2 linked regions of the Callithrix jacchus genome follow. The protein of the gene in region 2 purifies or fractionates together with the protein of the main gene of each other region. This does not show direct contact. Links are inferred from orthologs where the notes say so. Each region holds a gene or a part of one and is shown on either strand. Other genes may lie near its edges.

Evidence for each region.
Region 1: the proteins of CDC42BPB (region 2) and FAM167A purify together in Homo sapiens (co-immunoprecipitation; 3 studies listed by BioGRID and IntAct, counting the BioPlex papers as one, with this or other methods). This does not show direct contact. The link is inferred for Callithrix jacchus from reciprocal best matches to the Homo sapiens genes CDC42BPB and FAM167A.

What each region holds. Positions count from the first base shown.
Region 1 is NC_133514.1:10,604,713-10,609,012, forward strand, and holds the start of FAM167A (protein FAM167A), read left to right. Parts: upstream 1-1,500; 5' UTR 1,501-2,191; coding exon 2,192-2,590; exon of another isoform or gene 2,591-4,300.
Region 2 is NC_133509.1:137,829,737-137,833,236, forward strand, and holds part of CDC42BPB (serine/threonine-protein kinase MRCK beta), read right to left. Parts: intron 487-3,500; coding exon 355-486; 3' UTR 1-354. UniProt on the Homo sapiens protein: Serine/threonine-protein kinase which is an important downstream effector of CDC42 and plays a role in the regulation of cytoskeleton reorganization and cell migration. Regulates actin cytoskeletal reorganization via phosphorylation of PPP1R12C and MYL9/MLC2.

The DNA.
Region 1 (4,300 bases), on a different chromosome or scaffold from region 2:
AGAGATAACCACAGCTAATATTTGCATATACTCTTCCAGTCTTTTTTCCATGCATACATATGAATTAGATATTCGAATGAGAACTTTCCTAATGTACACAGGATTTGGTGTCCCAGTCTTATTTACTTAGCATTAAATCATTAGTATTTTTCTTTATGATCAAACAGTTTTTGAAAATATTATTTCTATGGCTACATACAATTCTGTGCTAACTCACTTATGTGACCACTTCATGTGGTTTGATGTTAGAGTTGAGGCTATTCCAACCAAGACTGCTCCTCCTCCTCCCCTTCCTCCTTCCTCTGGCCCACTCCCCTCTGAGTCCCATCACTGAGCACGCTCCTGCCCACAGGCACATGCCAGACAGAATGGTAGCCACAGGGCAAGACACCACCCTTGCCCTGGACAGGCTGCCTGTCCATTTGAGACATTCGACAGTTCCCCCATGAGAAAGCATCTGCACTCCCAGAAATAGAAGCCACAGGCCAGAGAGCCAGGAAGTGGAGGTAGGACAAAACATTTCCAGCTGGGGCTGAATGGCCAGTCCAAAAAGACCTTAGCGCATTCACCACGTGCCAGGGCCTCAGGCACAGCAGTGAGCAACGCGACGCTGTGGTCAGGGACAGCCAGCACCCAGAAGGATGCTGCATCCCCAAGTCTGGATCGAGGCTCCTGCCTGCCCTCCCGGAGCCCACTGCCTGGGAGGGAGAGAGACACTAATTAAATAACCTCACAAATAAACTTGGAATTATAACTAGCCCATGAAGAAGAGGTTGGGGGTGCTGTGAGCACCTGTAACCTAGGGTTCCCTTGGGAGGCGAAGCTGCAGCAGCCCATGGGGTGGAGCAGGTGCACAGAGGGACTGGAAGAGCACCTGTCTGGGGAGCAGAGGCCATGCAAAAGGCCCTAGAGACAGACAGAGGCCAATCAATCCCCTGCAGCCAAGCTAGCTCTTAATCCTCAGAGGACTGGGGGCGTTGAAGGCCTTTAAGCAGCAGCAGCTGAGATTGGATTTCCATTCTTAAGAGTTTCCGCTGGTTGTGGAGTAACTGGCTTGGGAGCCGCTGAGAGTGGGTAAAGGGGGATCGTTGAGAAGACTGCGTGCATGCTCGGATCCAGGTGGCAGGTCCCAGAACAGGGTAGGGCGAGCTGCTGGTGCCTTGCTAGGAACAGTGGCAGCGGGCAGGAAGACGGAAGGAGTGGAGAGATGTTTAGGAGCTGGAATCCGAAGGTCTGCATCAACGCTGTGACTCTCCAAAAGACGCTTGTTAATACACCTCTTAGCTTAGGACCGTTGCCCCATTAGCATGAGTAGGTCTGTGCTGGCAAGATGTCTCCTTAGACCGTGTCCCTTAGAGGACCTTCCAGTGAAGGTCGGAAAGAAAGGGAGTAGGTCAGGGCTGGATGCGGAGTTGCAGTGAAGGACACGGGCACCAGAGGGCAGCCCGAGGGTCTCGGGCACCTGCAGGAGCTAAGGCCCCAAAGACGGCCCGGCCAGCCGCGCACCTGCCTGGAGCCCTCGCCGGCCACTTTGCAGCGCCACCACTCAGCTTCGCGTCTGCTCCTGTAGACGGCGCCTGCACGCACGCCCTGGGCTGTCGTAAGAATGGCAGGTGGGAGCGCTTTGAAAGACGCTTCCAGCCCCGGGCATCTAGGAAAGGTGCCTGATGAGGTCTTGGGTAAGAGGCCCCCATCCAGTAACCCGCCTTGGGGCCTCCGGTGTCTGGCCTGGGCCCGTCATCTGCGTGTGTGACTGGTCCTGAAGACCTGCGGGCCGGCGGTTCGGGCTGCTGTCCTGCGTGTGCCTTCGGGTTTGCAGCTCTGGTCCTAATGGAGCAGGGACTGGGTCTTAGAACCCAATAACAGCTGGAGGTGGCTGATGCCGCGCACCCCCTCCCCCGGCGGGACACCCTGTGGTTAGTGGGGCAAACGCTTGGGTCTCTGCGTCTCGGTTTCCTCATCTGGCAGCCAGAGATGCCCACACCTACCTGCCCTGCTGGGTCGTCGGGGGTGTGGCCCACGGTGGGCGCTCGGGAGCAGTCGTGGCCGCGGGTCCTGTCAACTCCAGCCGTGTGTGGGTGGGCGAGGCCGTGGGCGTGGGGTTCCCCTGCCTCCTCCACGTGGACAAACTGCTGACAGTGGCGCAGCCACGTTGCCACGACTGGGGGAAACTGCCTTGGTTTCGGGTTTAATGAGAAAATGGATGTTTGGGTTTGGTTTCCTCTGGGGTTTGGCGAAGGCGTGTGCAGTTCGTCTCCACTCGCCGGGGCCGCTCTGGCAGGGGAACAGGCAGGGCGCTAGGACCCGGGGCGCGCTCGGACCCGGGGCGAGAAGCGAGGCCGGGACCGCGGTGAAAGGCTCGGGGCTGAGAGCTCGGCCGTCGCCAGGCAACGGCCCTGACGCAACGCGGGGAAAAAACGTCCCCTCTGAACGGAGCGAAAGGAGCGGCGCCGAGAATTCGCCGGAGCTGGGGAGGCGAGGCGGGAGCGCAGAGCTGGGGCCGGGCCGGAGCCGGGCAGCGCGGACCTGCGCAGGAGGAGGCGGCGGGGACCCCGGAGAGTCCCCAGCAGGGACCCTGGGCGCCCCGAAGGTGGGTTCGCGCCGGCGGCGGGGACTTTCCCAGGGGCTGGGAGGTGTGGCCGCGGCGGGCGGCGCGGGCTGGGCAGGGGCTGGGGCGTCGCGGGTCCCCGGCGGGAGCAGTGGCGCGGAGCAGCCCGATCCCCAGGCGCCCCGGAGGGGACGCGCGCCCACCACCCCCAGGAGAGGCCGGTCAGGCGCTCCCGCTCCTGCGGGCTCGCTGCCCTCCTCTGGGAGCCGGGCAGCCAGGGCCGGACTCATCTCCCAGCTCCCTGCTGGCCCTGTCCGGGCTCGGATTCTGGGTGGAGGGTCGGGGTCTGCCATCTGAGAGGGAGGGCCCCACGCAGCCTCTCCGGGTCCACTCCTAGGCGGCTGGTGACCTCCAAGCCCAGCCTGGCTCCTGTCTTCAGCCTTGGTGAGATGGAAGTTTCTGTCCTCACGAATTCAGTCCCTAACTCAGGAGAAGTGGCCCAGGGCACCTGGGCCCAAGGGTGCTCTAAGGACCCAAGCCAATGTGACCCGAGGGAAGGGCACAGCCCAGTGGGCCCCCGGGAATGAGTAGGTCAGCCGTGAAGCTGGGCACCCAGAGTCGCCGAGACACAGGACCACAGACCACAAGGGGTGGGGTGTCTTCTTCAGCTAAGTCAAGTTGGATGTATTGTTTTGCAAACCCCTTACTACCTGGTTTTTATTCCTAGTGGGGCTTGGAGGGAATTCTGAGGACTGGGACCTCCTGGGAAGATCTGGAAGGAGGATTGGCTCTTGGTTGGGGGCTCCTCATCATTGCTGGAGAATCCCAGATGAGGAGACCAGGTCCCCATCCACAGGGTTTTCCCCAAGGGACACGTGCTCCAAAGCAGCTTCCCATTGACAGGGAGACACAGTCCTGCCCCCTACTAAGCTCAGGATGGAGAGTGGAGAGCCTGTTTAAAGTCGGGAAAGCAGAGGTGCTGTGGCGCCTGTCGCCTGAGCTCCTCGGCAGGGTAGGAACTTCTGCTGCCTGGTTTGAAGGAGCTTGGAAAGCAGCCATGGGCTGTGCCTGGAGTGGATAAAGATGACAGCTCTTCTGTCTTGAGTGTATTTATGGATAGTGCATGACCTGGGAGCCCCTAGCATCCCTTGGTCACTCCATCCTCCCCATTGCCCTTCAAGGGGGCCCTATTATGCTTGTTTTGCCAATGGGACTCAGAAGTGGCTCCCACACCTGGTGAGAGAGCAGAGATAGTCAGCCCACGTGCCTGACTCCTGGGACAGTGCTCTCAAAGGAAGGCTGCTTTAGGAAGTCCGAGGCCCCTGAGGCCCAGAGAGAGGCAGAAACCACCCACACCCAGAAGAAATGAGAACTGTGCAGTGGGGCTCATCTCGTGACCTCAGAAGGTCCCCTGCCAGCTTGAGGAACCCTGTGGAGCTAGGAAAGCCATTTCTTCTATCAGGAGCTTGCAAGGCTGTGCCACCACCACTGCCTCAATTCTTCTCATCTGAAGCAGAAGAAAGGGTTGCTCCCCCACACCCTGTTCTCCTCCTTGCCTGCCCAGAGTCCCTAGACTCCCTGCGCACTTGCTCCTGTTCTTTTGGTCCTCCCAATTACATGCTTGGATTTCCACTTAATTGCCAGTCCCCGCCTTCCTGTCTACTAGCTTGGCCCCCCTCCAAGAGGGACTCTGGCAGGGAAATAAATTAAGGCCTTGCCTAACTATTTGCTGAGCGAGAGCCACAGAGCCCC
Region 2 (3,500 bases):
CCAGCTGTCTGCTTCCGAGGCAGCCGTATTATGACGGGTTTCTGCTGAGGAAGTGGCATTAGCAGGGCCCCACACGCCTTCTCGGGCTGTCAGGGGTGGGAGAGGGGTGTGTGGGGTCCTTCATGTGCAGACGGGACATGTTGCCTCACAGCTGTGCAGACGAACGGATCTGGTCTACTGCCACGAACAATGCGGCATAAAACTGATCAATATTATAATAAAGATTTGTCTTCATCTCCGTATCTACAAAGTGATTCTACATTTCCTTGGACAACACTGGCGGGCCCACTCAGTCTTGGCACTGACGCTGGAGGCCATCCCCAGCTCCCTGGGCCCTCTGGCGTGCTGGCGGCTTCAGGCGTCACAGGCTGGCTGCTCCAGGCCTTCCAGGGGGAGCTGGCTCCTGTGGGGGGAGTTAGGGCTCGGTGGACCGCTGGGGTTGGAGCTGTTCGATGGAGTTGAGTGTTTGGTGGAGTCCGAATCCGGCTGTGAACAGGAAGAGGGCAGGTGAGCACCTGCTGTCCTACCCTGGGAGGCAGCGCCCAACTGGACGCAAATATCTGCCCAGGGACAGCTGTGGCAACTGCTCTTCCCCTTTCGTGTCATTAGAACACACAAGCTTCTACACCAGTGATTCCTGGGGGCCTTCAGCTTGCTGGTGAGAGTCACAAATTGATGTCTCACCCCACTCAAAAATAATACAGGAATTATTACAAAAGACAGTAACTCTGTAGCGAAGAAACCAGATGAGGCGGGGCGCAGTGGCTCCCACCTGTAACCCCAGCACTTTGGGAGGCAAAGGTGGGTGGGTGGCACTCGAGGTCAGGAGTTAGGGACCAGCCTGGCCAACGCGGTGAAACTCCATCTCTACTAAAAATACAAAAATTAGCCGGGCGCAGTGGTGCACACCTGTAACCAAGTAGTCCACATTCACCAACATGAAGCACTAGGAATAGAAGGGAACTCCCTCAAATGATGAAACACTAACGATACTCAGTAGTGAGAGACAAAACTTCCCCCAAGATCAGCAACGAGACAAGGATGCCTGTTTTCACCACCACCACTCCACATGGCACTAGGTGTAGCCAGAGCAACCAGGGAAGAGAAAGAAAGAAAAAGGATTCCAGGTTAGAAAGAAAGTAAAACCATCTCTGTTTGCAGACGATGTGATTCTACACATAGAAAATCCTAAAGAAAAGAATCCAAAAAAAAAAAAACCAGCAAATTCAGCAAGTTACAGGGCACAAGATCAACACACACGTCAGTTGTATTTCTATACACCAGAAATGAGCACATTGAAAGGGAAACTGAAAAAAAATTCAATTTACAATAGCATCCAAAATAATAGGAATAGTTTAACCAGAGGAGTGAAAAATTTGTACACTATAAATTATAAAACATGGCTGAAAAAAAAAAAATATCCCATGTTCATGGAGTAAGTATATTGCTAAGATGGCTGTTCCAGGCTGGGGCGGTGGCTCACGACTGTAATCCCAGCACTTCAGGAAGCCAAGGTGGGTGGATCGTTTGAGGCCAGGAATTCGAGACCAGCCTGGCCAACATGGCGAAACCCTGCCTCTACTAAAAATACAAACATTAGCTGGGCATGGTGGCAAGTGCCTGTAGTCCCAGCTACTCGGGAGACTGAGGCACCATAATCGCTTGCAGTGAGCTGAGATCGTACCACTGCATTCCAACCTGGGCGACAGGGCAAGACTATGAATCAAAAAACAAAAAAAGCAAGCAGAAAAAATGCATTATGAGGAACGTAAATGACAACCTGTAGAACAAGAGAAGACCTCTGCAATCACATCTCTCACAAGAGCCTATTCAGAACACGACAGGAGCTCCCACCCATCCACAGAAAGACAAACCACAAATTCAAAAATGGGCAGAGGCCTTGAGCAGACATTTCTCTAAAGAAGGTACGGAATGGCCAATAAGCTGAAGAAAAGATACTCGAGTCTTTGGGGAATGCAAATCAAAACCACACTCAGGTACTACTTCACAGCCACTAGGACGACTATTAAGAAGAAAACAGAAAAACAAAAACAAGTACTGTGAGGATGTGAGGTGAGAGCCCTCATGCGCTGCTGGTGGAAACGAAATGCTACAAGGGCTGCAGAGAACAGTGTGGTGGCGCCTCCGAGTTATACAGAATCACCACATCCATCCCGCAATCCCACTCCTAAACCCCAGTGTGAGACAGGCACTGAGACAAGTACGTGCACATGTTCCAGCACCACGTGCTACGGCCCAAACGGGCATCCGGGGAAGAACGGGAAAACAAGGCGGGCTCTGTCCATACAAGAGAACATTACTTAGCAATGAAAACCAAACACTGACACATGCTACGGCAGGGGTGAACCGCAGAAGCAGTCTGCCAAGTGAAAGCCAGGCACAAAAGGTCAAAACCATTTCTGGGGGGGGGCGGGTGTGGGAGGAAAAAAAATTTCTATAGAAAGGCTGGGCACTCCATTTCCACAAAATGTCCGTAACGGGAAATCTCAGAAAACTGGGGACTGCCCAGATGCTAAGGGGAGGGAGTGACAGGGAGAGAATGCTTAAGGGGCAGGAATTTATTTTGAAATGATGAAAATGTTTTTATTTATTATGTTTGAGAGAGAGGATCTCACTACATTGCCCAGGCTGGCCTTGAACTCCTCAAGTGATCCCTCCACCTCAGCTTGGCTAGTAGCTGCTACTACAGGCATGAACCCCTGCCCAGCCTGGAGTAATGGAGATGTTTCTCAGAGAAAGAGGTGGTGAACGTTCTAAATGTCACTCAGCTGTTCACTTCGGTCACCTGGGCCTGGTGTGCTGGCTGATGCCTGTCATCCAAATCCTCTGGGAGGCCGAGGTGGGAGGACGGCTTGGGCTCAGGAGTTGGGAGACCAGCCTGGGCAACAAAAGAGGCCCTGCCTCTATGTTATTACTTAAAAAAAGAAAAAAGGTGTTTTGTGACTTTCACTTAGAAGAACAAACAAGGTCATGCAGAGGAAACAGGCACTAGCTGCCTCAGGACACGGTGCCCTGAGAGGGATGCCATGTCCTCTGTGTGGTGTGACAACCCAAGACATGCACTGAGTCTCCTGAGCGGGAAGCAGCAGACAGACACGAGCTCGGGAGCAAGCCGCAAAGTAACAGCAGTGCTCGCTGCAAAAATGTTACGCTCACCAAAGACAGGCTGAGGGCCTGCTGCAGAGTAAAGGGCGGGGAGCAGGACGTTTGGAGGAAGAGACCCTGACCTTGGCAGAACCAGTAATGTGTGCAAGGCACCTGCACATCTGTTTGGCAGCTGATGTTAAAACATCTCAGTGCTGGGGCTGAGATGTGTGCTGGAGTGATGGGCCTGGCCCCTCTGCCTCCTTCCCTGCCTCCCTCCCTCCCTCCCTCCAAGGATGGTGCCGGGGGCTCAGCCCTCAGCTCACTCCTCAGCCCACAGCACTGCAGCTCCCCGCCTCCCTCAATTGCTTTCTCACCCCCATTCTGCACAGGGG